Linked DNA regions of Caenorhabditis elegans. The protein of the gene in region 1 interacts with the protein of each later gene in a pairwise test. Each region holds a gene or a part of one and is shown on either strand. Other genes may lie near its edges.

What was found.
Region 2: the proteins of kle-2 (region 1) and npp-9 interact in a two-hybrid assay, tested with the Caenorhabditis elegans proteins (one large-scale study listed by BioGRID).
Region 3: the proteins of kle-2 (region 1) and pygl-1 interact in a two-hybrid assay, tested with the Caenorhabditis elegans proteins (one large-scale study listed by BioGRID).
Region 4: the proteins of kle-2 (region 1) and imb-3 interact in a two-hybrid assay, tested with the Caenorhabditis elegans proteins (one large-scale study listed by BioGRID).

The regions. Positions count from the first base shown.
Region 1 is NC_003281.10:7,939,823-7,947,060, reverse strand, and holds kle-2 (Condensin-2 complex subunit kle-2), read right to left. Parts: upstream 5,345-7,238; 5' UTR 5,339-5,344; coding exon 5,237-5,338; intron 5,163-5,236; coding exon 4,413-5,162; intron 4,364-4,412; coding exon 3,838-4,363; intron 3,505-3,837; coding exon 3,124-3,504; intron 3,074-3,123; coding exon 2,819-3,073; intron 2,725-2,818; coding exon 2,540-2,724; intron 2,021-2,539; coding exon 1,754-2,020; 3' UTR 1,468-1,753; downstream 1-1,467. Other genes in the region: gsto-1 (Glutathione transferase omega-1), read left to right, coding at 43-188, 272-491, 1,030-1,156, 1,207-1,466; C29E4.12 (Protein FMC1 homolog), read right to left, coding at 5,527-5,635, 5,690-5,907; C29E4.10 (Putative galactocerebrosidase), read right to left, coding at 6,205-6,291, 6,335-6,582, 6,631-6,728, 7,008-7,238. UniProt on the Caenorhabditis elegans protein: Regulatory subunit of the condensin II complex, a complex that seems to play a role in prophase chromosome condensation and in chromosome segregation in mitosis and in meiosis.
Region 2 is NC_003281.10:3,399,384-3,406,610, reverse strand, and holds npp-9 (Nuclear Pore complex Protein), read left to right. Parts: upstream 1-2,334; 5' UTR 2,335-2,347; coding exon 2,348-2,365; intron 2,366-2,414; coding exon 2,415-2,507; intron 2,508-2,552; coding exon 2,553-2,978; intron 2,979-3,031; coding exon 3,032-3,529; intron 3,530-3,633; coding exon 3,634-4,094; intron 4,095-4,143; coding exon 4,144-5,041; intron 5,042-5,301; coding exon 5,302-5,445; intron 5,446-5,503; coding exon 5,504-5,620; 3' UTR 5,621-5,967; downstream 5,968-7,227. Other genes in the region: golg-4 (GRIP domain-containing protein), read right to left, coding at 776-877, 922-1,035; F59A2.5 (L antigen family member 3), read right to left, coding at 1,202-1,361, 1,410-1,538, 1,650-1,732; Protein clpf-1, read right to left, coding at 6,033-6,143, 6,205-6,471, 7,069-7,152, 7,206-7,227.
Region 3 is NC_003283.11:3,576,406-3,585,630, reverse strand, and holds pygl-1 (Alpha-1,4 glucan phosphorylase), read right to left. Parts: upstream 6,490-9,225; 5' UTR 6,464-6,489; coding exon 6,410-6,463; intron 4,245-6,409; exon of another isoform or gene 4,234-4,244; coding exon 3,553-4,233; intron 3,501-3,552; exon of another isoform or gene 3,429-3,500; intron 3,312-3,428; exon of another isoform or gene 3,240-3,311; intron 3,178-3,239; coding exon 2,956-3,177; intron 2,900-2,955; coding exon 2,343-2,899; intron 2,037-2,342; coding exon 1,079-2,036; intron 1,019-1,078; coding exon 842-1,018; 3' UTR 589-841; downstream 1-588. Other genes in the region: rpl-11.1 (Large ribosomal subunit protein uL5A), read left to right, coding at 23-262.
Region 4 is NC_003279.8:309,912-317,305, forward strand, and holds imb-3 (Importin N-terminal domain-containing protein), read right to left. Parts: upstream 5,079-7,394; 5' UTR 5,068-5,078; coding exon 4,912-5,067; intron 4,864-4,911; coding exon 4,243-4,863; intron 4,192-4,242; coding exon 3,977-4,191; intron 3,932-3,976; coding exon 3,015-3,931; intron 2,968-3,014; coding exon 1,925-2,967; intron 1,874-1,924; coding exon 1,723-1,873; intron 1,666-1,722; coding exon 1,490-1,665; 3' UTR 1,070-1,489; downstream 1-1,069. Other genes in the region: C53D5.5 (Gamma-glutamyltranspeptidase 1), read right to left, coding at 851-876.

The DNA.
Region 1 (7,238 bases):
TGTATTTTTCTGTAGAAAAATTCAAAATGTAGATGTTTATAGATGGTTTTAACCGGAGTAACATCAAAAGCAATTCGAAAAGGAGATGCGGAACCTCCGCTATCAAAGGGATCTTTTCGTGTCTACAACATGAGATTCTGTCCATGGGCTGAAAGAGCAATGCTTTATGTTGCAGCTAAAGGAATTGAGTGAGTAGTTTATTTATTTTATTAGTTTCTAAAATAGACATATGAAAAGTACTTTTTTAAGAAAAAAACCATTGAATTTTCAGAGCGGAGGTAGTCAATCTCAACGTAACTGACAAACTTGAATGGTACTGGACAAAACATTATCAGGGAAAGGCTCCAGCAGTAGAGCACAATGGAAAAGTGGTCATTGAGTCTGGATTTATTCCTGAATATTTGGATGATGCATTTCCAGAAACTCGTATTCTTCCAACTGACCCGTACGAAAAGGTGCAACAAAAGCTGCTAGCGGACAGGTTAACTGCGGTTTGGTTTTATTTTGTTTTTCAAAAGAAATAAAAAGTGTTATATATAAAAACAATAAACATGGTTTAAGACTAATGCAATGGCAATTATTTACCATTAGTTTCCTTCTATCCTAATTTTGGAAGTCGTCCAAAAAATGATTGTTTTATACGAGTTCTAAATTTCACTTTCCGAAATGCTCGAAATTACTAAAAGCACATTATTCGAAATTTGCCAATTTACCAGAACTTTAACTAAAACTTTTAAAATAAAAAAAAAGATCTGCACGTCTCTACAGTTGTTTTGAAGGCGCAGCGATACCAATACCTTTAAAAATGGAAGGAAACATACATAGTTTCTAATCCCCTTTTTGAACTTCCTCTAATATAAAAAATCAGTTATTCGCTCCGCCCATTTTTCAACCAATCAGATGAGTGTTTGGAGTCCAAAACTCTGATTGGTTTGAGAGTGGGCGTGGCTATTCATTTTGGAGGAAATTCAAATATGATCTTGAATTTTTCTATTTTCTAAACTATTTTGTTTTAAATAAGCAATTCAGGTAGCCCATGCAGTTCCATTGCTCTTCGCCGTCATGCGAGACCGAACTTTGAAAGATGAAAAGCAGCGAAAAGTTTTTGAAGTTTTGAAACAAGCTGAAAATCTCTTGGCCAATGATTTTTATGCTGGTGAGTTCAATTAATCGATACAATTTTTTGACCAAATTCAAACTATTCAGGATCTCAACCAGGTTATCCAGACTACTTATCATTTCCATTTTTTGAGAAAATTTGGTGGTCAGCTAGTTTGGATGGAGTTGTCGATTTACCAACAATTGAATTCCCAGGAGAAGAAGAATATCCTAAATTGACAAAATGGTTCCAGAAAATGATTTCTTCAGATGTTGTTCAATCCGTCACCCAATCTTTGGAACATGGCGCTGCATTCATGAACGCATATGCCACGCACCAGGAATTGAATTATGATTTGGGCCTTTGATATTAAAACCAGTCGATTTATTTTTAAGATTGAATAAAAAATGAAGGACGTAATTAAAAAACAATCAAAGAAATAGTGGTAATTCGTCGGAAAAAAAGTTATTGTACAGTCAGTAAAGTACCATAACGAACAGAAGAAAAATACTTGGCATCTAGAAGTTAATTAATTGATACAGTAAAATGAAAGTATAGCCAGAAATCGAGATACAAGTAGAGACAATGAGGAATGTTTAAATAAATTAAGATGGTTTTCGGGAGATTTAATGCAAAAAAAACAATAATTATAAATTAGGCATCAAGAGCGCCAGCCTCCTTGAACATTTCACAATGCATATCTCTTTTGAGTAGTGTGATTTTCATCGAGTTGATTCTTTCCTCGAGTGGCAGTTCCATGTCCTCGCTGACCATGACATTTCCGACATTACACATAAAGAGGCACGAAAGGAAGTATCGACTGATTTCGTACCATGGACGATCCATAACCAAATCTAGTAAACGTTTCGTGCCACCTTCAATATCGTATTGGCCAATGACAGCACGACCAACTGCGTGAACCTGAAAATTATTATAATTGAGAAATTCAAACATTTAGACATTTTGACTTTTCAAATTACTGTGGTTGACCAGAATATTAAAGGTGGAGTAGCGCCAGTGGGGAAATTGTTAAAAACCACTCCTTTGGTTCCAAAATGACCAAATATCATGATAAAACTTTTGAAAATTTTTTTATTTACTGTCAAAAACTGGCAATTACTCAGTTTTTGCCACTCATATGTTTGGAAGTCGACCAAAAAAATTTATTACATTTTTTATTGTTTTAATTTTGTTTAAATTAATTGTATTAAAACATTGTAGGGGTCGAAACATACGACATTTCTTTAAATAACCTCAAAAGCTCATATTTTTCAAAATTTTGGCAATTTGCCAAAACTTTGACCGGAAATTATGAAAAATCTAAAACTTTTTGGAGTGTTTTATTATGATATTCGGTTGTTTTGAATCACTATAAGTGTATTTAGACAAAATCCCCACTGGCACTACTCCACCTTTAAGATTAAATACTCTAAAACATACATCATACTCTTTTCGAGTTTCTCCTTCTTCGAGGATTGGTTCCATTCGAGAATGCCATTTGTCAACATGTTCTTGTAGAGTTGACACGGCAACATCCACATCTTCATATGCTTTAGCCATCTCGTAAGCCATTTGTTCGCGATCTGTTCGATTTTCAGCAAACTTCTTGAGCAATGGTAAAGCTTCTGTAAATAGAAAATTTACTTGATAGACTTGAGAGAGTACAATTTCAAAGTATTAATTTTAAAATTTTATTATAAAATTTTGCAAATAACTTACTGTCGATGAGCAAATTTCCAGGTAAATTGATAACACTGTTCAGTTCGGCATCATCAATATCCTCGAATCTTAATGGAACATATTCAGCAGGCGGAATATCAAAATCTGTTTGAAGAGCATCGAATTCTAGGTTGTTTGGAGCCATAGGAGGCCGTTCACCACGTGGCCGCACGTCTTCTTCGTCGTCATCGAACCCACCTCCAAACATTGAGAGCTCGACTTCGGCAGCAAGATCTTCATCGACTACGTCGTCATCTGGAAAAAATATAATTCAGTTTAAATTTCATAAAATTGAAATTTCTTACATTCAGCTCCGAGGGTTCTTCTATTAGACGTTGGAATATCCTCTGTTACCGGTTCAAATTGCTCCACGGGTATCACACGAGCTGTCCGTTTTCTCTGCATATTCTGGATACGAGCTTCTCGGATTTTTGCAGTCTTTTCCTTGATTCTTCGTTTCTTCTCGGCTAGAATAGCAGTACGAAGTGATTCTATCTTCCAGTCCTTAATCGGATTTATACGAGCCGCACTTCTCCAATAGTAGTAATCCTGCAGATAGTCGTGAGTTTCCATGAACTCGTCTCGTCGAGACTTATTGATCTTTTCCTCACGTCGTTGCTTCCTAGCCAACATTTCAGCGGGTTTTGGTTGGAATTTCGTGATCTTTTTTACCGGCTTGCTAACGACTGAAATATATCATTTACTATATATAAAGCGCTTATTCCGTTTGTCCATAGCTTGTAGTCTATGTAGTCTTTGTAGTCTGCGAAGTTTTAGCTTCTGGAGGGATAGTGAGTTGGGGTTAGTGTAGGGATATAGTCGGGGTACTGTAGTGGTACAATGGTGGTACGGTAGGAGTACTGTATGATTACGGTAGGAGTACTGTATGATTACGGTAGTTTCAGAAAAATTGGTTTTCAGCTCCAGAAGTCGGGGGCCGCGCCGGAGGTGCGGTCCACGGCTCATATATATATATAATCTAAAAAATACCGAAAGAATCCCATTAATTCAACAAATACCTGGCAGATTCTCGTCTCCCGTGTACCAAATAATATGATTTTTATCCAGCTCGTCCCATGGTGCCGGTGCTCGCTTCTCATCCCTTCTGGACAAATTTCGAATATAATCATCGTCGTCATCGTCTCCTCCACCACCAAAATCATCATCAAAGTCCATGGGCGCGTAATTCTCATCAGGTCTTCTACTAGTGTTTGGTTCATCGTTTTGCATAACAGATCCAAAGTTATCAACGAACATATCAACTAAGCCAGTGGTAAGATGAGTGCTCGGGCGATTCTTATTAACTCTTCCCTCCACAAATGACAAGAAATCATTCAAATGATTACTCTGTCGATGTCGTTCAACAAATGGTTGTGAGAGACGAGTTGGTTGAGATCCAAAGCCTTGAGAATCTCGAAGAGTTTTAGCTGCAATTGTGATGGCTCTCGATGTGGCACGAGATTGAATTTCTTGATTTTGACGAACTGCTTCTTGCTCTATGAACCAACGAGGAGGTGGAACAACTTCACGGCCAGAGAGAGGATCCTGAAGAAATCAAGTTTTGAAAATGTTTCATCGAATTATTACCACTTACCTTAAACGGTCCATATGCACTGATCTTCTCATGCTCTTGCTCCAAATCTAACTCAACTTCCAAATCAGCAACACCAAAATTAGCTGCCAATTCCTTATTATCTGGCATCCAACGAGCACCAGGTAGTGTGAATTGGTCTAAATTTCCACGATAACAATCATGGGAGTAGAGTATTTGTTGATCGTGTTTAACTTTCGACTTTTTAATTTCAAAATCTTTTACTTTTCCGATAACATCAGGACGAGATTTTGCATTCAAAATTTGTTCATCAGTACGATTGAGCTGGCCGTAATTGAGCTTGAACATGAACTGGGTTGGCTTTGCTACTAAACAGCTTTTTCGCTCATATTGAGACTCTATAACTTCAGCATTCTCGACCATTCTCACTGCATCAATCGATTTTTTCTCTTCTTTTACTGTCTTCTCAAAATTTGCTAGAGCTTCCTGTTTCAGTGAGTCGATATCAGCCAAGTCGTAATTCGTCGATCCCAAATTAAAATTTTTCCGTCTTCCAGCTCCTCGTCTACTGCCGGTGTTTCCATCATCTTGACCTTTGTTCTCGACTAAATCCACAACTGAAATCGTCAGTTCATAGACATGATCTACTTTTCGACCATATACGGCACACGATCCTTGAATAATCCGGCATGCTCGTTGAAAATCGAACAATCTGTAAGTTGTCGCTGCATCCACCTGATTATCTGTGTCTTCACTTTCTTGTCTGATAACCTCGAGGTATCCGGCGAGTGCCTGAAAGTCGAGCAATTATTTATTTTATTTACCGAAAAAGAAAAGATACAACCGTGAAAAAAAATTATCCTTACTTTCAACACGTCGATTGAGAAGTTCTCGACAAGATCTTTTGCGGGTGTGACGAGCCATGCTAAATCTGTCGATTCTTGACCTGGAGGAGCATTCCTAGTCATTTGTACCTGAAACAACAATTCCAATGCTCTGGCGATGATTAACTATAAAAAAGATATAGAATGGTACGAAAACCATAAGGAAGTTATAAAAAACCTGAATAGTATTTTAAAAACGAAGTATTTTATTTTGATTGAAAAGAAAACAGGAATCTAATCTATTCGAGAAAGAAATAACAATTTTAAGTATTTTAAAGTTTCTTTTGTTCTGGAAGTTTCAATCCAACAATAGCAGCAGCCTCTTCAACACTCTTCTCGCCACCCTTATATCTCTCTTGAAGTTCATTAAGCTGTCGGGTTCTAAAATGAATGGATATTGATTATTACTTTCTTATTCTCATAAAACAAACGAACCCTTTAATATAGCTCAAATAGAGTTTTGCAACGCTCTCTGACTCGTTCTCGGCTTTTGAATATCTTCTTGTTGTAACCTGGTCGGCTTTCATTTGCTCCATGAGGTATTTATATTGTGCCGAATTCGGGGAGAATGTTTTGTCGACCTTTTTCAGTTCCGAAATGATGTTTTTGATGGTGTTGAAAGCGGTCACTCCTTTTCCAACAGCAGAGGCCATACTTTAATTTTGAAAATGTACAAAAAAGGGATAATAAATAGCACAATAACACAATTCAGACAAAAAAAGAAAACAGGAAAACGTTCTCAATTCAAACTGCGCGCGTGAGGCGCGCGTTGTTTAGCGAAACGCGGAGCATCGTTGCGGTACCATTTGCGCGGAAGTTTGAATCTAGTTTTTTGTGGCAATTGATTTTGACATTTTCCAATAATGTGGTAAATTATAAAATGGTACATTTATTTTAATAGAAACATGCCCAAGCAATATTAAATACTTTTTGAATGTAATTAATCAGCCTCAGTGAAAATAATCTGTTGAAATATTATCCCATTCGGAGATGCCAAAATTTCCAGTGCCAATCACGAATAAAGTGTCATTATTTGTCTGAAAACATTATATTTGAAATTCAATTGATTATTTTAATAACCTTATTTAATTGTTCTTCTGGAATTTCCACTGAAGTCATCACATGATGATTTCCGAATTTTATGAAGAGATGCGAGTCCAGTAAATGAATTGAGAATTTATAAAACTTTCCAAATTCTACTTTTCTTCGTGCTTTGAATTCAGCAATTATTGAACGGTCAACGAAATCGGAAAATATAGTTACTTTTTTATTTGAAAATTCAATCTCAACAAATATTCCACGACAGTTTATTACTTCTATGTCACATCCTGAAAATGTAATAGATTTTAATATGAATCACAACACTAATTACATACCACTACAATTACTCCTTATACCTAGAATGATGGATTTAGCTGTTGAGTGTTTTGGAATATTGACCTCGGCGTTTAGAATACTATTCTTCTTTCGATACCTAAATGGAAGGAATACCGTATACCGTATTTCCTCTATTAGTTTTGCACCCCTTTGCTCAACTTTGACACCTCATATCTCCTTTTTGGACATATAAATAATTAACAAACTACAAACTACAGAAAAAACATCTATCTAAATTTTTATCAGTTGACAACTTTTCTATAGAACAAACTACTACTGAGATATGAGCTGCCAAAGTTGAGAAAAGAGGTGTAAAAATATTAGAGGGAATACGGTATACTGTAGTTCCTCATAGGTCAAAGTCATCAATTCTTACGCCATAACTGCATATGGAGTTCGAATGTGTGAGGTGCACCAACTAATTGATGGGCGTGTCACTTTCTGTACCGCCCGTCCATTTCGTACCACCCATGATCCTTTTTGTGGCATCCAAAACTTTGGCTCCTCGTCGAATTCATAATTTTCAAAGTCGTCGTGATAATTCAAAGGAACCAATGGTGTTTTTATAGTAACTCTTTTCGGAGTTGAAACTGGAAGTGTAGTGAGT
Region 2 (7,227 bases), 4.5 Mb from region 1:
ACATTTTTCTAATTTTTCAGAAGAAAAAAAATTTTCTCATAAAAAATTTTTTTTTTTGCGAATTTATCGATTTTCGGGAAAACCGAATTTTTATTTTTCCGATTTTTTTGGAAAAAAATAGCTCAAATTTTGACATTTTTTTCTTTTTCAGAAAAAAATTATAAACATAATTTTATTTAAAAAAATTTAATTTTCGTATCAATTTTCTACATTTTTTAATTTTCGATATTCTCTGAATTTTTAAAATTCTTTTTTAAGAGAAACAGGATTTCCTCTTTTTTAAATTTTTCGACAAAAAAAGTCATTTTCGATCATTTTCGTAAAAATGTGACCATTTTCAACGAAATCTCTGATTTTTAATGGTTTTTCCCAATGAAAAAAAAAATATTTTTTGGTATTTTTTGAGTTTTCTTGTAAAAAACATGGAAAACATACAAAAATGTGATTTAGATGCGGAAAAAATATATTTTTTTTGCAATTAAATTGATGCAAAACTTCGAAAAAATGGCGAAAAATTTTAATAAAACCTTAAAATTCGTACATTTTAACGGTCTCACAGCTGCTGGAAATAGATTTTTATTTAAAAATCTCTTTGTTTCGCATATTTCTGCTGTTTTTGGTACATTTTTTGGATTCCGAACTAAATCTCACAAGAAATTGTTTTTCAACAGTAAAAATCCATTTTTCCGGAAATTTTCACGAAAATGGTTGGAAAATAATAGTTTTTCGACGATAAATTCAATTTTTCGAGAATTTTTCATGTTAAAACTCTCACAATAGAGGTATTTGCTGGATTTTCAGCTTTAGTTTCTCCTGATTCTCCGGTGAATCTTTTAGAAATCGACGCGGATGCATCACTGCCAGCAGGCTGCTCATTCTGCAATTTTATCGATTTTTTCTCAGTTTTCAGTGGATTTTTACCATCGCCTGCCGATATTGTCCAACTTGAGCGGCGAGTTGTTCTCCATACTGCTGAGCTGATTGTTTAAGCTTTCCGGCTTCATTATCCAGCCGGTTTTTCAGGTTTTTGAACATTTAAACCTGAAAAAATCGATTTTTTAGTGGGGAATTTGCAATAAAATCGAAAAAAAAAGTATTTTAAAGGTTAAAAACCATATTTTTAAGAAGAAAAAATCATGAAAAGTTGAAAAAAATTCATTTCAAAAAACAAAAACAGAAAAAATAACAAATTTTAATCAAATTAAGCCTGAGATCCGTTTGAGAGTTTTCTTTTCAATCCGTTTTCCTTCGATTTTCCCAGATTTTCACAAAGTTTGATAGTTTTCACGGACAAATCGATCATATCAACAGCGTTGGCAATGGATTTTGACAATGATTTCGGATCTTTTGATTCGATTTTTCTGAAAATTAACTTATTTATTTAGTTATTCGAATAGAAAAACTATTACATGACTACAAATTCGCCTTCGCTGCACACTTCCCGTCGAGCACCACTTCTTCTCGGCTCTTTATCGATTTTTATGACATCTGCCACGGTTCGAGCCGCTTCTTCTGTTCCGACGGATAATCGTACGCTTCTGGAATTAATCGGATTAGAAACTGCTGTTAGAACTTCAGAAAATGTTAATTTTGAAACAAAAACATTTAAAAAACAGTTTGTTTTTTGTGTTTTTTAGCGAAAAACTCACGCTGAGTGGATATATGCCGTGCTCGGAGAGCTTGGGTCACATTCGTCCTCTGAAGATGACGATGAGCTTGTGTCTACTTCCATTTTGTTGTTGTAATCACTAAAAAACACAATTTTGAAAGTTTCTGATGAAAAATCAATAAATTCGCTGAGAAAAGTGAATAATAAATGCTATTCCAGGCAAAATTGACATTTCAAAAACCGAAAAAGCCATAAAAAACGACGGAAAATATCAAAAATCCTGTTTTTCGCCTGAAAAACCGGTATTTTCCATGAATAATTGCCAACTCATGGTTAAAGGCGCGCGTGTCGATTTACGCAACGGGTCTCGCCACGGCGCAGGAATTTGAACTTTTTTCGAAATTTGCGAAGCTTGGCGCCCAATTTCTATTTATTTTAGACTGTTTCGCCATAGTTTTTCCGTATTTTTACGAAAAATAGCTGGAAAACATTTTTTGTGCGTTTAAAAGCATATTTTATACAGAAAAGACTAGTTTTAAAGGTAGGAAAGCCCTATTTTAAGCAGGGAAAGCGTTGGCGCGAAATTTCGAAATTCAAATCCCTGGCGCGAATTCTTTGAAGTATTGCTGCTAATTTTCAACTAAAGAGACCGCAGTATTCGTCTTTTTATCTCGCTTTAGCTTGAAGTCTCTTGAATTGTTTACCTGATATTTTTCATATTTCAGCTCTCCTTTCGCAATGAGCGATCAGAAGCCGGTAAGTGAATCTTTTCGAATGTTGCTCAACATGATTCACGGTATTTCAGAATATGGGGCGCATTGTCGCCAGCGTCGTGGATGTGCAGCAGTTGATGACAATGCAGTTTGACTCGCTTATCAAAAGCATGGACTCGTTGAAGGTATGCGATTCATGAAAAACTCAATTTAATACTTATTTTTCACAGATTGAGCACCAGACCGGCGTCACCCAGCTTCGCGATGATATTCGTCGATCCGAGGATCGGTTTCAGAAGCAGTTGTCCGATTTGAGCACTAATCACGGAAAAGAGCTCGAGAGACTTCATCAAATTATACACACTCTTCTTGCTCGTGATGCGAATCCTCTCGGCTCAATGATTCCTCCACAGCAGCTTCAGCAACAACAGCAAATGTTGATTCTTCAGCGACAAATGGAGATGGCTCATGTGCAGGCAGCACAAGCTCAAGCTCATGCTCACGCTCAAGCTCAAGCCCAAGCACAGGCCCAAAGCCAAGTTATGGCTAATTTGCTCAATGCTGCGAAGCCAGCTATTCCCGTTACACAGCCACTGGTCGCCACTACAGCACAAGCAAAATCGACAGTTCCAGCTTCTGGAGTTATTGCACCAAAGGTAACAAATTTTCGGGTTTTAGTTCCAGCAATTAAAAATTCAATATTTTTCAGACATCTCCACCAGAAGTTGTAATTCCACCTGCTAAGCCAACATTCTCTACTCCAACGCCTGCAGTTGTTCCAAAGCCAGCCACCACCGGATTCTCATTCGGCGGGACCAATCCAGCTACTTCAATCTTCGGTAAAAAGCCTGAAACTGCTTCCCCAGTCGTGGTTCCAGCAGCTAAAGATGATGAAGACGAAGAACATGATGAGGATTACGAGCCAGAGGGCGAGTTCAAGCCAGTCATTCCACTGCCAGATCTTGTCGAGGTGAAAACTGGAGAAGAAGGAGAGCAAACCATGTTCTGCAATCGTTCAAAACTCTACATTTATGCCAACGAGACGAAGGAATGGAAGGAGCGAGGAACCGGCGAGCTGAAGGTTCTCTACAACAAGGACAAGAAGTCGTGGAGAGTTGTTATGCGACGAGACCAGGTGACCATTTCGGAGGAGACACTCCCTTCAAATATTGAGAATGGAACCGAAGAATTGTGTTGGAATATTCAGGTTATTCCAATTACAGCTTTTTTCACATTTTTCGGCGTTTTCCTCAACAGAAAGATCTTAATTTAAATTTAAATACCTTAATTTAGCATTAAAATAAATTACAGGTTCTCAAAGTCTGTGCCAATTTCCCAATTCTCGGCTCGATGACCATTCAACAAATGAAATCCAACGAGAAGGCCTACACATGGTTCTGCGAGGACTTTTCCGAAGATCAGCCAGCTCACGTGAAGCTTTCCGCTCGTTTCGCTAACGTCGATATCGCTGGAGAGTTTAAGACTTTGTTCGAGAAGGCTGTCGCTGAGGCAAAATCATCGAGCAACGCTGGAAAGACCATCGACAAGGAAATCAAGCCGGCGGCTGAGGTGAAGAAGGAAGTCAAGCAAGAAGTTGTGATTCCATCAAACAACAAACCGGAAGAGACTGGATTTGGAGATCAGTTCAAGCCAAAACCAGGATCTTGGGAATGCCCTGGATGCTATGTTACTTGCAAAGCTGACGAGATTGAATGTGCCTGTTGTGGGACATCGAAAGACGGATCTGTCAAAGAGAAAAATATATTCTCTAAGTAAATATTCTATTTGAGTTATCTTAAAATTAAAAATTTAAATTTGCAGACCTTCGATCCTCCAGCCTGCCCCAGGAACTCCAAAAGTGACATTCGGATTCGGAGCATCTGCTCCAGCCAAGGAACCTCTTGCTCAAACATCTCAGTTCGGTGGATCACTCAGCGGATCTCCAAGCACTAGCAGTAGCATTTTCGGTGGTGGAACACCAAAGGGAACAAGCGTTTTCGGTGGAGGTGCTGCTAATACTCCAACTTTCTCATTCAACAAGCCAGCTGCCGCTGTCAATGCAACTACCCCATCGTTCAATTTCAACAATCCTGCAGCTTCAACTGCTTCTCCGGCAACCTCTACGACTCCAGGAAATTCATTGTTCGGAGGTGGACTCTCCAAGACTGAATCTACAGCTTCTTCAACTACTACTCCGTCGTTTATGTTCGCCAAGAATTCTGAAAGTGCCTTCCCAAAGCCAACTTTCTCATTCGGAAAGCAACAGACTCCATCAACGACTGCACCAGCTAAACAAGAAGAAAATAAACAGTCCGAGACGCCAAAATCCGTGTTCGGTAGTGGATTCACGTCTGGAGGTGCAACATTCGCTGCCCTTTCAGCCAACTCTGCCAAATCTGGCTCCATTTTCGACGCAGCAAATGTCAAGAAGGCCCAAGAAGAACTTGCTGCTCAGAAGAAGGCAAGCATTTTCGGGAGCAAGAACACCACGTTGAACACGACTTCTGCAACTTCACACGATGGTGATGAGACGAATGAGGATGGAGATGGGGAGTATGAGCCAGAAGTCGAGTTTAAGCCAGTTATTCCTCTTCCGGATTTGGTTGAGGTGAAAACTGGTGAAGAGGACGAGGAGGTCATGTTCTCCGCCAGATGCAAGCTTTATAAGTACTATTCGGATCTCAAGGAGAATAAGGAACGTGGACTCGGAGATATTAAGGTCAGATTTAGGATTTTATATCAAAATGAGCCAGCTTGGCATGTTCTTTTGATAGTTTTCATTAAAATTTAGTGATAAAACGTAGAAAATAACTTATTTCAGTTGAAACAGTTAAGAAAAGTGCTAGTTTTGCGCACTTTTCAACTGTTTTGCAAGTATTTTCTATGTTTTTTCACTAAATTTTAATGAAAACTATTAAGAAAACAACTGATTTTTGACTCATAGAGGCTAAATTTGAGAAAAATAATTTATTATTTCAGCTCCTGAAAAGCAATGACAACAAATATCGAATCGTGATGCGTCGTGAGCAAGTCCATAAGCTCTGTGCCAATTTCCGTATCGAAAAGTCGATGAAGCTCAGTCCGAAGCCAAACTTGCCAAATGTGCTCACATTTATGTGCCAGGTAGCAATTTTTAATTTCTTTTTATATAAAAATGTACTATAAATTCCTTATTTTTCAGGACTTCTCAGAAGACGCCTCCAACGCTGATCCAGCCATCTTCACCGCCAAATTCAAGGACGAGGCGACCGCCGGAGCATTCAAGACGGCTGTTCAGGATGCTCAATCGAAGATGTAATCCTCTGCTGATTATTTAAATTATTTTATTATTGTTATTCCTCCCCACCCAGCACTCTGTGTTAGTATTCCCCACCACCAATTTTATTTATGAACCTAGTTTTATTCATCCCCATCTGCTGTCATCTATAGTCCTTTAAGTGTAGTTTATATTTGTCTGGTAAGGTTTTTAAAAAAATAATTTCCTTATTTCCCCCCCATCTCTCTCAAAATCCCATTGTTCTCATAAGTACCCCCCACACACTATCATTCATAATTTTTGTCTTTAAAACTTAACTATATTGTTCACATTGTCCCGGCATCGATTTTTCCCCACTGGTGACAATCCAATAAATTGTGAATGCATTGAAGAATGAGATTTATTTTGAGGGCGGGAAACAAATAAATAGGGATTAGGAAAAAAAAGAAATAAATTATCGTTTTATTTGATCATCAAGATGGGTGATATCTGAGAAGACGAGAACTTTCGATGGAATTGTACGCTGTGGGCAGAGAATTGACATTGTTCGCTTCTCCAAATCAACCTGAAATTTGGATAAAATTGAAATTTCCGTTCGAGACCCAAAAACTCGACGAAATACCAACCTCCGTGACAAGACAAAATCCAAAAACCGGCGATTTCAGCACATTTTCGTCGGCTTTCGTGCTCCGCGAGAACGCGAACAAATGATGTTTAATGTCGGCACTGGGCTCCATGATAACCAGCTTTGTCTCATGATTTTCAACTTCCATTCCGAATGGTAGACATGAATCGGGCAGTTGCTCGGCTCCGATTTTACAAAGAGTGACGTCATCGAAGCTGACGTCAAATGTGAATGGGTAGAGATTGTTGGCACGGGTTCCGTAGAAATACTGCAAAAAAAAAGTTTTTTCTTAACAAGTTAGGCTTTAAAACACTGAAAAACCAAAAAAAAGAAAAAACCCGCAAGTGCGGTAGGGTTGCGGAAAAACCGTGTCAGACAAATAAGTCCCGCCCCCTCAAATAATAATTTTTCGAATATTTAAGCTCTAAAGCCAGTTTTACTCGAATTTCTAGACCATAAAATACAGAATTCTTTGGAAATGTTTTATTTTTAGAAAAAAAATGCCTGAAAGGCCCAGGGACAATATTTTCGTGAAGAAAATTAATTTTTCAGCTCAAAAATTCAAATATATATATTTTTCCGATTAAATCAAATGTTTTCCAATAGAAAATAGACAAAAAATACAGAAAACTTGTCAAAATCACTCAAAAACTGCAAAAAATTTCATAGAGCGGAGCCTTTTAGCACGTGCGGCAGGGCTGCGGAAAAACCGTTCCAGGCTTGCAAATAAGCTCCGCCCCTTCAATTTATATTCATTTTTCGAATATTTCAGCTCTGAAAAGCTGATTTTTGTCGATGTCTCTAGTGCAAATCAAAGATTTTTTTGGAAAAACTTTATTTTTCGAATTTTGAGGACAAAACCTACCCGATGAACGTTTTCTCCGCGCATTTTCGAACGAATTTGCCCGGTTCGTTGTTCAACTCCACCGGATTTTGGAACATGTGTGAGCTGTAAATGAATGATTAACTTTCAAACAAAAAACAAGGATTTTCGCGACATACTCTGACGAATTCCGGCAATTCT
Region 3 (9,225 bases), on another chromosome or scaffold:
GTGATGATTATTTTGTTTCCAGGAGCACATTGATCTCGGAATCAAGTACGACCCAGGAATTGGAATCTACGGAATGGACTTCTACGTCGTTCTGAACCGCAACGGAGTTCGAGTTTCCAAGCGCAGACGTGCACCAGGACGCATTGGACCATCCCACCGTGTCGATAAGGAGGAGACAATCAAATGGTTCCAGCAAAAGTACGATGGAATCATTCTGCCACCAAAGCCAAAGGTCAAGAAGAACTTCTTCCGTCGTCGTTAAGTTTTTCTATTTTCTGAATAAACTGTTGTTATTAAAAATGAAATTGCTAATGTTTTGTTAAAGTTGTGAATCATAGTCTGATTGTCGTGGATCTGAACTTCAACTTCCTGGAATCAATAATTTTACGTTGCGAATGGTCTTCTGATGTAGAAAGTTCAGGATATTTATCCAGGAATTTTGAAAACTCATCGAAAAGGAGTTTGGTATTTTGCTAACGAGCTGGTCGTAGAGGTATCGAAACTTCTTTGAAGATCCTTCAGACAGCCATAATTTTTAATTAAATTTCAGCATTTGCAGATTCGAGTCAAAATTAAAAAAAAAAAGTTGATATTTTCAGTCAATTTATCATAAATATGCAGGGCAGACGTGCAAATAGACAATCTCAAAGTATGGCAACACATTCGGGGGAAGTACGATTATTGGACTGGGGGCAGAGAGGACAAAATCAATTTGATCTTGAAGATTCACAAGAATTATCGGGGGAGGGAAAGGCTTCTATAAAAATGCTATAAACTAAATGGGACGGAGAGGAGGGGAAGTTATGGCGATAATTAATTACAATGTTAGTGCATAGAAGAATTATTCGCTCTTCTCATTCTCATATGGTGCTGGAAGAGAGCTCTCGAACTGGTCGATTCCCCAGATTTCACGAGCGTATTCGGTGATTGTGCGATCTGTTGAGAACTTTCCGGTCGAGGCGATGTTGTAGAGGGCCATGCGAGACCACTTCTCTTGGTCGCGGAATGTAGCGGAGACCTGAAAATAATTTATTTTGATCAGTAAAAATTTGAATTAGTTGAATTTTTTGAGTTTTACCTTATCCTGGGCTTCAATGAAAGCGTCGAAATCGGCGCACACCATGAAACGATCATGATAGCGGAGCATGTTGGAGAGATCCTTGAGCTGATCTGGATCTTCTGGAGTGAACATGCCACCTTCGATTTGCTCGATGATCTGCTTGAGCATTGGGCTCTTGTCGATGAACTCCTGCGAAGAGTATCCGCGCTTTGTGAGCGCCTCAACCTCCTCGACGTTCATTCCGAAGATGAAGATGTTCTCGTCGCCCATCTCCTCGGCCATCTCAACGTTGGCTCCGTCGAGAGTTCCGATTGTGAGAGCTCCGTTCAACATGAACTTCATGTTTCCGGTTCCTGAAGCCTCGGTTCCGGCGGTCGAGATCTGTTCAGAGAGATCAGAAGCTGGAATGATCTTTTCAGCCATCGAGACACGGTAGTTCTCGAGGAAGATGACCTTCAAACGATCACCAACGATGGCATCATTGTTGACTTGTTCGGCGACGGCGGTGATCAAACGAATGATCTGCTTAGCCATATGGTATCCTGGAGCAGCTTTTCCTCCGTACAACACGGTACGCTTAACCATATCGATGTTCGGGTTCTCCTTGATACGATTGTAGAGAGCAATGACGTGGAGAATATTGAGAAGCTGTCTCTTGTACTCGTGGATTCTCTTCACATGCACATCGAACAACGAAGCGGCGTTCACGTTGACATTGTACTCGTCGCTCAAATACTGGGCGACTTGTTGCTTGTTCTCGAGCTTCACACGACGAATCGAATCGAGGAACCCGGCATCGTTGGCGTACTCCTTGAGCTTCTGAAGCTCGTCGAGATTGGTGATCCACGACTCGCCGATCTTCTCGACGATGAGGTCGGCGAGAGATGGGTTGGAGAGAAGAAGCCAGCGGCGTGGTGTGATTCCGTTCGTCTTGTTTTGGAAGCGATCCGGGTAGAACTCATAGAAGTCACGGAAGCTGGAAATGGATGATATTAATTTTTTAAAATGGTAATTTTGCAATTTGCGCGTAAGAAAAATTGGGCGGGCCGGGATTGCAATTTGCGGCGCGCGATTTAGCAACACCGCCGCACGATGTTTTTTCTCTTTCTGTCCGAATTTTCAATGACAAATTATCAATTTTTCGTGATTTTATCGAGTTCACATATCGAAATCTTTCAAAACATCATGCGAAAAACAGCCAAAATAAATTCGTGCGGCGGAGCTGCAAAATGATGCGTCGCCCATTGGTTCTAGCGCCAGGTTTCAGAGCATTTTCGCTTACGTGGAGCTCTTGAGAAGATCCGAGTGAAGAGCCGCGACTCCATTAATGGCATGAGAAGCCACAATGCACAAATGAGCCATATTGATGCGCTTCTCGCCGAACTGATCGGCCTCCTCGACAATCGACATACGACGCATACGGTCGAAATCTCCTGGGAATCTCTGCGAGATGGTGTTCATGAACTTCTGATTGATCTCGTAGATGATCTCCAAATGACGCGGCAACAAATTCTGCATAAGCGACACTGGCCAGCGCTCGAGGGCCTCTGGGAGCAAGGTGTGATTGGTGTAGGCGTAGGTCTTGATGCAAATGTCCCAGGCCTGATCCCAGGTGAGTCCCTCGACGTCGATGAGGAGACGGATCAACTCGGGAATTCCGATCGATGGATGAGTGTCGTTGAGCTGGATGGCCACCTTATCCGGGAAGGTCTCGAAGTTGACACGGACGGCCTCGCGGTTTCCGTAGATGGAGGACTTGAAGCGGCGGATGATGTCCTGGAGGGTGGCGGCGACGAGGAAGTATTGCTGCTTGAGACGGAGCTCCTTTCCGAGGAACATCTGAAAATGTGGGGAAATTGATTTTTTTTTTCTGCCAAAATCTAGCTCAAACATACGTTGTCATTCGGGTAGAGGACACGAGTGATGTTCTCGGACAAGTTACGATCCATCACAGCCTGCACGTAGTCTCCGTCGTTGAAGAACTTGAGGTGGAAATGATTTTCGGCTTTGGCGGACCACAAACGAAGCGTGTTGACGATGTTGTTCTTGTATCCGGGGACTGGTGTGTCGTATGGCATGGCAAACACAACTTGAGTGTCGATCCATTTCGATTTTCCCTGAAATAATATATTTTTTAATGAAAAATAAAAAAAGTAAGCGAAAAAAAGAAAAAAGGAATGGGCCGAACCGGGGATTGAACCCGGGACCTCTCGCACCCAAAGCGAGAATCATACCACTAGACCATTCGGCCACGATTAGATACGTGAAAGCTGGTGATGAAGAGATATCGAATCTTATTATTTCTCGCAATCAGCCAATTATCGATTATTGTGCATCTTGATTGCTTCCAAACACGATTTCCAAACATGGCCGAATGGTCTAGTGGTATGATTCTCGCTTTGGGTGCGAGAGGTCCCGGGTTCAATCCCCAGTTCGGCCCATTCCTTTTTTATTTTTTTAAATTTAATTTTCTCCAAAAAATCAAAACTCACATCCTCCTTCACAACTTTTCCATAAAAGTTGACCGGAAGCATGTACTCTGGACGAGCCTTCTCCCATGGATTTCCGAAGCGAAGCCAATCGTCTGGCTCCTCAATCTGCCATCCGTCACGAATAAGTTGCTTGAAGATTCCGTACTCGTAGCGAAGCCCGTATCCGTAAGCCGGAATACCCAGCGTGGCCATCGAGTCGAGGAAACACGCGGCGAGACGTCCGAGTCCTCCGTTTCCGAGCCCGGCGTCCTCTTCGATCTCCTGAAGCTCCTCAATGTCTAGACCGAGCTGGTAGAGCGCCTCGTCGACGGTCGCCTGAATTCCGAGGTTCATCATTGTGTTCGACAGCGTTCGCCCCATGTAGAACTCCAACGACAGATAGTAGACCCGCTTCGGATCCTTGTCATAGTAGTGTTGTTGAGTTCGTATCCAGCGAGACACGAGATGATCGCGGACAGTGTTGGCGAGCGCGAAGTAGTAGTCGCGATCGGTGGCCACGTTACGATCCTTGATGATCGAGAAGTGAAGGTGGCGATTGAACGCCTTCTTGATGTTCGACACGTTCTCCACTTGAGCGATTCCGCGCACGGAGATCTGCTTGCGACGATCGTGATCGTTGGTGATCATGCTGAACAGCTTCGGACTCGACGATGAGGCAGTCGATTCGGCAACCACGGGCTGCTGAAAATTGGAAATTGGTTTTTTTGGGAGAAAAAATGAGCGGAAAGTGGTGAAAATTATAACTTGTTCGGCTACTGTGATAAGAATGGTGGACAAACAAAAATTTCGAACACTGCAGGCAATGGCGAGTCAGGCCAGAAAACAAAATGTGTTGCGAGATAGTAGTCGACGCAGTACAAAGTCAACAGGAGGGGGGCAGTTCAGTGATCAGTCAACAATCAATATTGATAGCAGGGGCCGGCCCCGTGATTTCCAAGATGAAAGATTTTTGAAAAAAGTATGAAAGCCACGTGGATTTGCTATATTTTTCAAAAAAATCGCAAATTTCCGCAAAAACCTTTAGTTTTGCGAACTTTTCCGTGTCGCAGTTCGCAGAAACTAGCTTTTATTTGATTAACATCATTTATTGGGCATTTATCCAACGTTTTTTCATTGATCTAGGTGCATTTAAGCCGATAAGGGACCAAAAATGCCTCAATCAACGAAATAAGTGATGAAAATATGCAATAAAAGATGATAATCAAATAAAAGTTAGTCTCTGAGCACTGCGACACGGAAAAGCTGGCAAAACTGGGGATCTTAGCTAAAATTAGTAATTTTCTGCGAAGTTTTGATCCTATACAAGCAAGCATTCCTCCTTGAACCAAAAAAAAAATCGAAGAAAAAATATTTTCGCTGATCATTGAGGAGTGAAATGCATCGCTTCAAACTGATCAGGCTAAAACGTCGAATAATATCAGTGTTGACCGTGTCGGCGGTCAGTCAACATGCAGAAAACTACCGATAAACTGATAACGCGTAAGTGATAATAAAACAACAATCAGTAGACGACGACAGGATATTTCGGTGTATTTTTATCACCCGGTCGGCCCAAGAAAATCGAAAAAAAAATTAATGAAAGTGAGGGGCACTTTCTTCTGGGCTACGGAAGACTTTGTTCTTTGCTCACAGCCTTTTTTGTTTAGCCTGAAGCTTGAACTTTAAAGCTTTTCTACTTATGATTTTGTCAAAGAAAAGCATTTAATTGTCGCAAAACCGAATCTTCAAAGATTGTGCTGTCAACTCGAATTAATTAATTAAAATCTTGCGGAAATCTGTTCGAATATGGAAAAGACTATCGGTAGACATGGCCGCTTTGTGTTTGATAAACAATTCTTGTCACTGCCGATTTATCAATTCTTTTTCAACTGAGACGAGTGTGTGCACGTGAATGATCGATGCCATTGGAAATTGAGAAAATTTGAAAAAAAGTTCCGAAAACTTTCGGGGAGCTGCCACGCTTATGTGGAATCGAAAAAAGAGCATAGAGGCCCGAGCCATCTAAAAAAAATGGATGGGGAGAGGATGCGAAGGGGTTTGTGAGCGTGTGTGTAAAATGTGAGGAGAGGAAAACAACTCTGGGAGAAGCAGAGATGTAGAGAAAAATACATGTTGTGTGTGACCCCGACGGACACTGATAGGGAAACAGAGAGAGAGAGAAGCAGGCGGAGATTCAAATTTTTTGTCGAGAAGATGACGAGATTGAAGATTGAAAAATTGAAAAACCAAGAAATCAAGAGATTTTTTATTTTTTTTTTGGCGAGGAAAAATCTGTTTCTAGAAGCTTTAATATTAATTTCCCGACTTTCTTATCATCACCGCCTCCTGTTATGATATCAATGAGAAGACGGGCGGTGCAGCAGAACAACAAAACGGGTATTTTTCCGTTTTTTGAACACTGTATATGTACAGTGAGGACCAATCACCGCACAAACAACGCGACGAGCTGGAGGGGGCAAGGTGAACGATTCTTGAGGCGTATAGGTTCGATAGATTCCAATTTTCACCGTCGCTTATGAAATGAAATGACCAGTGAAACGAGAGCTGGGAGCCGAAGTCCTATAGAAGAGGAAGAGGATGGGCTGAAGAAAAGTGGCGGGAAAAGTAGACTGACATGTGTGTGTGTGTGTGTGTGTGCCGGCGAGAAGCGAAAAGGAGAAGCCTGAAGTGAAGCGTACGTGTTTTTCGGCAAGATTCAGCCGGCCGTTTCCCCATTTTGCACGCACACACTCACTTAAATCCCTGCCTGCTCGCTGTTTTTTTTCTTATGATTTTCTGGCTTATGAAGAGATGAAGCAGATGAAGCAGATGATGAAGAAGAAGCTTGATAGCATGAAATAATCAGCGAATTACTTACCGGGCGCACGTTGTTCCAGTTGAAGAATCCAAAACGAGCAGCAATATCCGACATTTTCGGTGTCACCGGCGGCTACGAAGGTGAACAGTGAAGAATGACTGATAAAAATTTGGAGAAGACAATCAAAAAATTGACGAAAACAAGTGGTTTATTGCACCGAAAATGCAGAAATTGGCGCCATGATTGAAAATTGGAAAACAAAATTTTCGCGCCAACAACACCGAGGGTACGGTAGGCGAGTACGCAAACACCGATGCGCACCGTACTCGCCGTAGCGGATTTGAATTTAAATTTAATTAAAAATAAATAAATAATTTAGTTTTTCTTGCTTGAAAAACAGTTTTTCCTAAAAATTGCAGATTATTTTAAAGAAAATTCATTTAAGATCAAATTTAGAACAAATTATATTGAAAACTTGCTTCAAAGCATAGAAAATTGGCCGTAACAACATAATATAACTGTTGAAAAAAAACTTTTTATCTCAATTTTTTAATGATTTTTTAAAAAGAATTTTGCAAGTATATAAGAAAAGTGGATGAATTAATTTCGAATTCCTGCGCAAATAAATGAAACGTTTTGACTTTTTCCCATTTTCTGTCAAAATTAATTGTTTTTGTTTTGATTTTTCGATTTAAAACACTTAAAACACCGTTCATCTAATTTTCAGATATTTTTTGCGTGAAGGAAAATTGATACCACTAGAAAAAAAATACCACTAGAAAAAAAAATTTGGCGTAAAAATCGATGATTTTACTTTTTTTCCGGAAAAAAAGTCTGAAAATTTGAAAGAAAAAGGTGATTCAAGCCAGAAATCGCTAAATTATCGTCAGAAATTCAAAAATAATTACCTTTTTTCGAAAAAATTGAAAAAAAAAATTATTTCAAATTATTTCATGAAACAACCTCTAGTTCAATAATAAAATATTATTAAAATGTTTAATACAATTAAAAAAATTCAATTTTACTGCTAAAAATTTATTTTTTTAAATAAATTTATATTTTAGATATTTCTGGAACACTACATCCTGAGAATGCGTATTGCGCAGCACAATTGACGCGCAAAATATTTCGTAGCGAAAACTACAGTAATCCTTCGAATGACTACTGTAGCGCTTGTGTCGATTTACGGGCTCGATTTTCGAAATGATTTTATTTTCGAACAGTGACAGTGATGACACAATCAAACCCGTAAATCGACACAAGCATTACAGTAGTCATTTAAAGAGTTACTGTAGTTTTCGCTACGAGATATTTTGCGCGTCAAATGTGTTGCGCAATACGCATTCTCAGGATTTAGTGTGTCCGTAATAAAATCTGAAGAAAAACTGCTAAAAAATGTCTTTTTTAATTAACAACATGTTGTTTAGTATTTTCTGGTATACTTAGTTATGCTGAACAGTTTTATGAAATAAAAAAGAATGACTCCATACCATTTTACCGTACTTTTGAATTTTTGAATATAACAGCTTTTGGTTAAGTTTTGAAATTTTTTAAAATAAACTTCCGTACAAGCTAGAGTATGTTGTTTGGTATTTTCTGGTATATTTGATTATGCTGAACAGTTTTATGAAATAAAAAATAATCGCTTCGGTAATTTAGACGCACATTTCTTAATTGAATTCGCATGGTTTAGAGTGTGATGAGGTAATTTTTCTGTGGAAAAATTTCCCTTATTTTTTGTAGATCAAGTCGCTATGGAACATCTTGACACCATGTTTGGAAATCGACGAAAATAGTTGAAATTTTTTGAAACTACGGTTTTACCGCCGATACCTAACGAGACCCAACTTGTAGGAGCGGAGCTTTGACGTTAGAGCGCGATTGCATTTTCGTGTGCAGCGCGGCCTATCCTCAATTTTTTTGCCTTTTTTAGAAAAAAAAAAGCGAACATTTCGCTGTTTCTTTTCGTCGCTCACAGTACACAAACACGGATGCTAGGCCAACTTGAACAGAATCAGGCACCCCCAGCAGGCTCAATAGCCCAACTGTGAACCAAGCCAGAGCCGGAAAAAAATAAATAGGGGGTCACAAGCGCACCGAGCAGAATATCCACGAAACATGTCCTAGAGCGAAATTTAAAAAAAAACAGTTTTTTCAATTTTGTAGAACTCACCAAAAATGTAAATTAAACAATGGCCATCGATAAGATGCCATTTGCGGTGGGGTCTTGAGCAGAATACAGTAACCGCCTAATATGTGAAATGATACAAGTACGGCGGTAATTGCGTGGGAGGTATAGGCCAGTCCTTGCCAACAACACAAGAACGTTTCGGATTTTGAACATTTGGAAAATTGGAGAGATAGAGACAATATTCTTGCAAGGAACTCATTGCCAGTCGGGTTGAAAAATAAGGAAGGATAGAATCAAAACAAATGTTAACTGAATTTCTTAGAATTCGATTGTTTCCCAAAACAAATTCTTGTTGGCAGCAGCTGGCATTTGTAGACACAAAACAAAACCTATTCCTTCAATTATACACGGATTTCTAGGCTCCCTCATATTTTGAAATAGAAGAGTTTGCCGAACTAGGCCATTTCGGTTCGGCCATATAGCTCAGCCACACGGTGCGCTGCGTGTCGCGTCGCGGCTCGATTTTAGTTGTAAAACTTAATTTATTTGTCCGTGTGGAGTACATGCGACTTTTCCGCGCGTTGGCCATTGTCAATGGAGCGCAAAAAGTTCAGTGAGGAAGCACTGGGGCTCTGGCCTTCCTCATTGAACTTTTCGCGCTCCATTGACAACTGGACAACGCATAGGAAAGTCGTGCACTCCACACGGACAAATACTTTTCATTTTACAACTAAAATCGAGCCGC
Region 4 (7,394 bases), on another chromosome or scaffold:
CACTACGGTAAAGCTTGTGTCGATTTACGGGGTTTCGGTTTTTTCATTTTTTTTGTGTTTTTTAAAAAACAATTTATCGACTAATGAATGATTTCCGTAAATCGACACAAACACTACAGTAGTCATTTAAAGAATTATTGTAGTTTTTGCTACGAGATATTTTGCGCGTCGAATATGTTGCGCAATACGCATTCTCAGAATTTTGTGTTGCCGTAATAATTCTGATTTAAAAATGGAATTTTCAAAAATCAGAGGTTTCCCAAAAATTTGAATATTCCACAAAAAAGATGAATCTGAAGAGTATTTTCAATTTTTTGAGAAAATAATCGATTTTCTGGATTAAAAAATTTGAATTTATAGATTTCTAGATTCTAAAATTTGAATTTGTGCAATTTCAAACAAAAATGTATCGATTTTTATCGACTTTTCATAAAATTTAATTTAATTTTCGAAATTCCGAAAATATTGCCCGTTTTTCATATACCAAAAAAGTTGTATCAATTTTTTCAAAAAATTAAATTTTCATCGATAGTTGTTTTCAAAGCATCATGATTTTTTTGAAAGAATTTGCAAATGTGAGAACTACAGTACTCCCTTAAAGGCGCACGCTTGTTTTTATTTTTAAAAAATTGGTCGTTTCGAGACCTGGTACCGTATTTTCGCATTTGGGTAATATTTCCAGCATTATAAATTTAAAAACAATGCACTTTTTAAATCTTGAATCCATATATATATTTTTTTCAGAAACTCATGCCGCCTCGTTTGGGTCTCGATTCGAATTTTTTTCACAAACGTATAATATTTTCTCGAAAAACCCGCGAATTTTTAACATTATCGATTTTTCTCTCACCTCGTCGATTGCCCTTCAGGAGTCATTATTCAGAATTGAGTATGAATTAAAAAATCATAGAAAAAGTCAAAGCGCTGTCAATTGGAAATTTAGGACGAGAATGTCAAAATTGCAACTTTTCACGATAACGGAATTCTATCGCAAAACTAGATAAGAGCTACAGTTTGCTGCGTGTAAGCGCGCTCCAATGACAAACGAGAAGAGAAGAGAAGAGGGGGTAACCGCCAATAGCTCTCTTTATCGAGGATAGTCTTCAAGTGACAGAAGAGATATTCTGTGGTGGGAGAGAGTTGGGTGGAAGGGGGAACAATGAGGACTACGGAAGAATGACTTTTAGATTTGGAGTATAGGAGAAAGTGGAGGTTTTGGCTGAAATTATTTTCAAAAACTTTAACTGTAACAACTAACGAGTAGATTTGAAAATGAGGATAATATTCAACACAACAGAAAAAAAGTCGATAGGTAACTAATAAAAATTAGAGAAAATGTGGCATCGGGGAGAAGTGGTGGAACAAAAGAAGAAACTGATGATGATGATAGGAGGATAGCCGCGAAACAAGCGATTAACAGTGAACAAGATTCATTTCGGTGAAGATGGAGAAGATAACAGCAAAAAAAAAAACACAACAAAAGTCCTTATTATTGCCCATTGAGAGTTTGTTGAAGGACACTGGTAAGGTGCTCGTCGATTCCATCTTGCTGCGCGAATTGTGGGAACGATGCGTAGATTTGCTTCAGGATTGTGACAATTCTTTGCTTGGTTTGGTTGCCGCTATCGTCGTCGTTGAAAGCATCGTTGGCGATTGAGAGCAAGCCTGAAAAATACAAATAAAAATAAAATAAGTTACGGATTTTTTTAGATTAGAACTTACAAACAAGGAAGATTCTCGGAAGATTCTGATTTTCTGGTCCAAAAAGTGCGGCGTCTTGTTTATCAAACAATTCGGCGAGACACGTGTAAATGTAGGGGCTTTCCTCGGTGTCTGAATATGTTGGCAACCAGCTCAGGAACATCTCGACGACCTGGAAATAATATGGAACTTTTTTCTTGAAAAACTGAATTCTAAAACCAACCTTTCCGTAGGCTTCAGCAGGAAGTGGCACATTGCCGATGATTTTGGCAAATGCAGAAATCGCGTTTTCCGTGGCAACAGTGCTCTCCTCGGTGGCTCGGGCGTCCTCTCGTTGAATCATGGCGGCCAGTGGCTCCAAACAGCTCAAAATCTCGTTTCGGTAGTCGCTGATCTGGTGGTAGTTGATGGCCATAACTCCGAAACCGTAGCTCGCTGCTTGTCTCACTTCAGGATACTCATCTCCCAACAACTTGTACATTATTGGAATAAGCTTCGGGAAGCGAGTTGGCATATGTCCGACACCGAACTCGATGGCGTCATCGAGAAGGCACATTCCCCATTGTCTCTCGAAGTATTGTTTGGATCCCTCGATGAGTTGAATGGCACAGTTGAACACGTTGATCATTCCCTCGAAGATAGTTCCCTTGAACTCCTTCATAAGAGAGTGAGTCAAATCAGAGATGGCTCCAAGGCATGAGGCCTCCAATTCCATGAAATAATCGAGCTCCTCCTTAGCTTCAGCATCATCGTCATCTTCATCTTCAACTGGACGATCGCTCATTCTCTTTCCGTAGTTTTCAAGTTGCTTGAGAAGCACCGAAATGATGAGTTGAACCTCTTCCTCGGCGATTCCCTCGGTTTTCATAACCTCAATGCACGATCCGATGGTCGTCATGAACGAGGCGAGAATCTCGACATCGTCCTCCTCCTCCATAGAGGTCGTCAATGCCTTCAAGAACTCGCACCACAAACGACGCTTGTCAGCCAATCCTTGCTTCTCAACACAGGTCAACAAGCATGGCATGATTTCAGCGGAAGCCGTACGAACTCCGTCGTGAAGTCCGAAATCGAGATTCTTGATGGCGAGCTCGTAGACGTCGACGACGTATGGCATGAAAGCCTCCTTCATCTCCTTGGCGAACGCGACAAGCATATCGCAAGCAGTTGCCTTCTCCTCAAGACCGCTGGTGCGGATTCCGACAGTCTTTTCTCCTCCGATTCCGTGGTATTCAACTCCTTCCTCGTTTTCGTGAACATCTTCGTCTGAAATTTATATATTTTTTTAACACGTAAAACTAAAAAACACTCACTGTTGAAGATATTGAAGTCTGGGCGGTAACGAGCGGCACGAAGAACTGGATCCATGACAACTGGGAGGAATGGTGCGAAATCGGCTCCAAGAATAGAGCAGAAACGAGTCCATGAGCTGATCATGTAGCTGTATTGTGGATCATCGATAGCCAAATCCTTCATTCCGTCTCCGAGAAGGTTCAGGATCTCGATTGCAGTAGCGTGGAATTGTTCCTTTCCGACAGCATATCCGATGAGAGAGATGCATTCGATGGTCTTTCCTCTCAACTCCTTGAGCTCTCCGACGTTTTGAAGAATGTGAACGAGGTTCGGGATGAGGCGAGCATGATGTTCCTTGAAGAGCTCCTCGGCGGCTTCAGCGACGGAGGCGATGGCGGTGACGATGTTCTCAACGACAACCTGGTATCTCTTGTCTCCGAGACGATTGAACACAGCGGAAAGCACATTTTCGAGTTTCTGAAGAATGAATGGAAGATATTGTCCAATGATGCTCTTTGGGCACTCCTCGGCAAAGTTGACAAGAGCCGAAGCGGCATGAGCACAGACACGTGGAACATCGGTTCTGTCAAGAGACTCGAGAAGAGCTGGTATGACGGCGGCGTGGCACTTCTTCTGAAGAGTTGGAGCGAAGTCAGAAGACATTTGTCCGATGGCGTTGCAAGCCGCGTATTGAACTCTTGGATGAGCATCATTGACGTAATTGGTGATATGAGCCATAATTTGCTCTATGTGTGGTTCCATAGATCTTTGGCACCCTTCACCGACGGCGGAGAACGCGCGAAGAGCCGCGTGCTTCATCTTCCAGTCTTCGCTGGTCAAAAGCTTCTCGACAAGTGGAAGGAACACTGGGAGCATCACTTTTCCGTTGATGCAGCAAGCAACACGGTCGATGGCGCTTTCGGCGATGATTGGGATACTGAAAAATAATTTAATTGAAGAAAAACTAAAAATTTATCCTTACTCTTCATAGTCTTCTTCCTCTTCGATCTCGTTGAGCCACTCATTGAGCACATCGTCATCCATTTCGGTCATGCATGAAAGAAGAGTCTCGAGAATTGGTCCAAGAGCTCCTGGTGCGTATTTCTTGAGTCCTTTTGGTGCGGATTCCATGTACGAGCAAATAACTTCGATGGCGTTCTGACGGACCATCTCGTTCTTTTCCTTGTTTCCAGCAATCTGAAATTTGAAAAAATGAAATTTTTAAATTGGGCCATTTAAATTACTTACAGCAAGAGTGACTTGAAGAACCTGAGACATATGAGTGTTAAGGCATTTTGGCAGAGAAGAGGCGAGCTCGGCGAACTCTCCGAGTGGTCCATCTGAATCATCCTCGTCGCTGGTTTCATTGCAAACTTGAAGAACATTTGGAACAAGAGAGGTCATAAGCCTGACAACATCCTTCTCCTCATCATTATCAACAGCGAAAGCGATAACAGCACGGACGGCGGTGGCCTTGATTTGCAAATCCGGTGTAGCCATGCACTTTTCCAAGACAACTTTGAGGGTTGGAAGGAAGTGGGCCAGCCTGTTTCCAAAAATTATTGGGCATCCGCGAAGAATAAGCAGGGCTATGTAGTTTCCGGTAAGATCCTCGCTCTTCAAACAATGATCCATCAGCTCGAGGACTCCTCCCCATGTCATATCTCCAGAATCGTCGATGAGGTTTGAAGCGATTTCAGAGATCAAATCAGCAATCTTCTTCTTAATCGAGAGTTCGGTCTCGTGAACTATCATCTCGAGAACTTTGGCGAGAATGCGCTGTTTGTTCTCCTCGTTCAGCGTTTCCCAAATCGCATCCCAGTCTCTGGCGAGAACTCGTCGCAGAAACACCAAAACTGTGGATCTGGCCTGAAAATCGAAAATTCATGGAATATATAGGAATTTGAGTGAACTAACATCAGAATTATTCGTGTGGTGTGTGTAGGCCTCGAAAAGTGCAGCTACTTTGGTTGGTCCTTCAATCTTTTCATAGACTTCTTCAGCTTGTTTTCGGATATCATTGTCTGCTGACTGCAGTTTTGTGATGAGCTCAGTGAATTGATTGACGTCCATTGTAGGGAACCCTGAAAATCAGAATATGTGCTAAAAATTTCAAAATTGAGAAGGAAAAAGATGAAAGCGAGTCGGTTTTGCAGATAAACGCCTGGGGAATACGCGGAATCGCTGAGGAAAATAGATTTTTAGTATAAAAATTGGCATTTTCAACAAAAAACCTATCGGAAAATGTGAAAAATAGGCCAACAAATATTGAATTTTGGGACAAAAACGCCTCGAGTGCACGATTCTCAACGGAGCGCACTTGCTGCGTCACACGCACTTTAAACTGTACACGGCGGGAAGTTCAAATTTTAAAAGGATTCACGTGATTTTCACGACATTTACTGGTTTTTTCAGCGAGTTTTCGCAACTTTTCGGCGACAACCGATGATGATTTATGTTTGGAATATGATGATGGTAGCGTGTTGCGAAATAAAAAATCGATGGAATGAGTCAGCGAGAAACTAATATTTGCATAGAGAACTGTTTGCAATTTTGGCATTACATTGGCCAGTGCACTGACAAAAAAAGAAAAAAATAAACGGCAAAATCTCTAATACCTATTCCAGGCAACCAGTGTCTGGCGACGATGGAGAGTAATTCTGAAAGAGACGCAGTTGAAAAGAGTGTGTTTTTCGCTTTTTTTTTCAGACAGAAGAGTAAAAAGAGTAAATACGTATCAGTAGTAAAAACAATGTGCGAGCTGGGAAATCAGTAATAATTAACTACTTGTGATACAAATTCCTCAAGGAATGAAGGAGAAAGTGTACTTTTTTTGAGACCCGAAGAACTCGGGGGATGTCCAATTGGGGGGATTACCAACTCGGGGGATTGGCCCCGCCCACAGAACCGTGGCTTGCAATACGCCCATTTCTGCAACTGCCGCACGGTTTTAAAACTGTATTTTTCTCAATAGAGCGAGAATTAACAAGAAAAAATAATTTTAAAACCGTGCGGCAGTTGCAGAAATGGGCGTATTGCAAGCCACGGTTCTGTGGGCGGGGCCAAACTCCCGAGTTGGTAATCCCCCCAATTGGACATCCCCCGAGTTCTTCGGGTCTCCTTTTTTTTAATTTTGAATTGAAAAATTGTCCGAAAAGTGCAAACGTAGAACATCAAAACCAGTGGAGGGGCGAAATTTGATAGATCGCAGGTTGCAAGAATGAGCATTCTACGAGTTTCGCGCCATTTCTGCGTAGCGCGCACAATATTGTGCAATAAATCTCGGTATTTGCGTACATGCATCATATCTTACGCGCAAATCATATTGGAAATTTCCCCGAAACACGGGGAGGCAAAGCTAACGTGGCTGAAGAAATTTCTACAGTAGTCCCATTTGGCTGACTGAATATTCAACGCGAATAAGTTTTGTACACTATTGCGTACTTTGCGTACGCGCATTTTATTTGACGACAATTCGTCAATATCAGCTCTGGCTAAAAGCGCTTTTCTCATTATTTAAGCGAATAAAAGTCGAAAAAAAATGTTTTGTGATAGAGAATAGTAATTTAAAAAATAAAAAAGTGCATATTTTATGTTTCTCATTATGTTTCCACTGATTTTCTGAGAAAAACCGAAAATTTCCTCTTTTTTCGATGAATTTCAGCTGAATAGTTTGTTTTTATCTAGTTTTTCTTCCGATTGACTGAATAACACATTTAATAACATCAATATAACGTTTAAAACATTCATTGTCTCGAAAACCAATATAAAACTCGTCAGAGAGGGATACTTAGTAGATATGCTGAACAAGGAAAAGAGAGAGAAGAACATTAACCGAATGGGGAGGGGGGAATAAGAAATCTGAACAGGAACGAAATATAAAGAACATTATTAGAAAGAACAAGCATGGCTTGATCTTCTTGGCAGTCGTCTCCTTATCCTATCACTTCTTCTCGGCGTCCTTCTGATCATGCTACCGAGCAACGTGGCACGATCGAAGAGTTTCACAACGGTTTGATACTTTCGCTCCACGAGGGGGCTCCCAATTCAGCGAGGGTCCTCTCACGAAGTTTAATTTTTTAAAATTAAAAAATAAGTAACACCTCAAGAATTCCATCGAAGTTGTGCTCCTTTGCAATAAGACGAAATTTTTTTTTACGGAATTGAACAGGATCATTGAGGTACGGCATGAAAACGGCTTCCTCGTTGAACGATGTTGAAGCTCCTTCACCATTGCACCTGAAAATCAACTTCTAAATTTTCCAATTTAAAGAAAATCCACATACTTATCCTCGGAAACGAATCCAATATTCTGGTTGCTGAGTGGAATTGCTTCAAAGATTTTGATCAGATTTTTTTTTGAAATTTTCGATCACACATCTTGTATCCACCAAATCGCC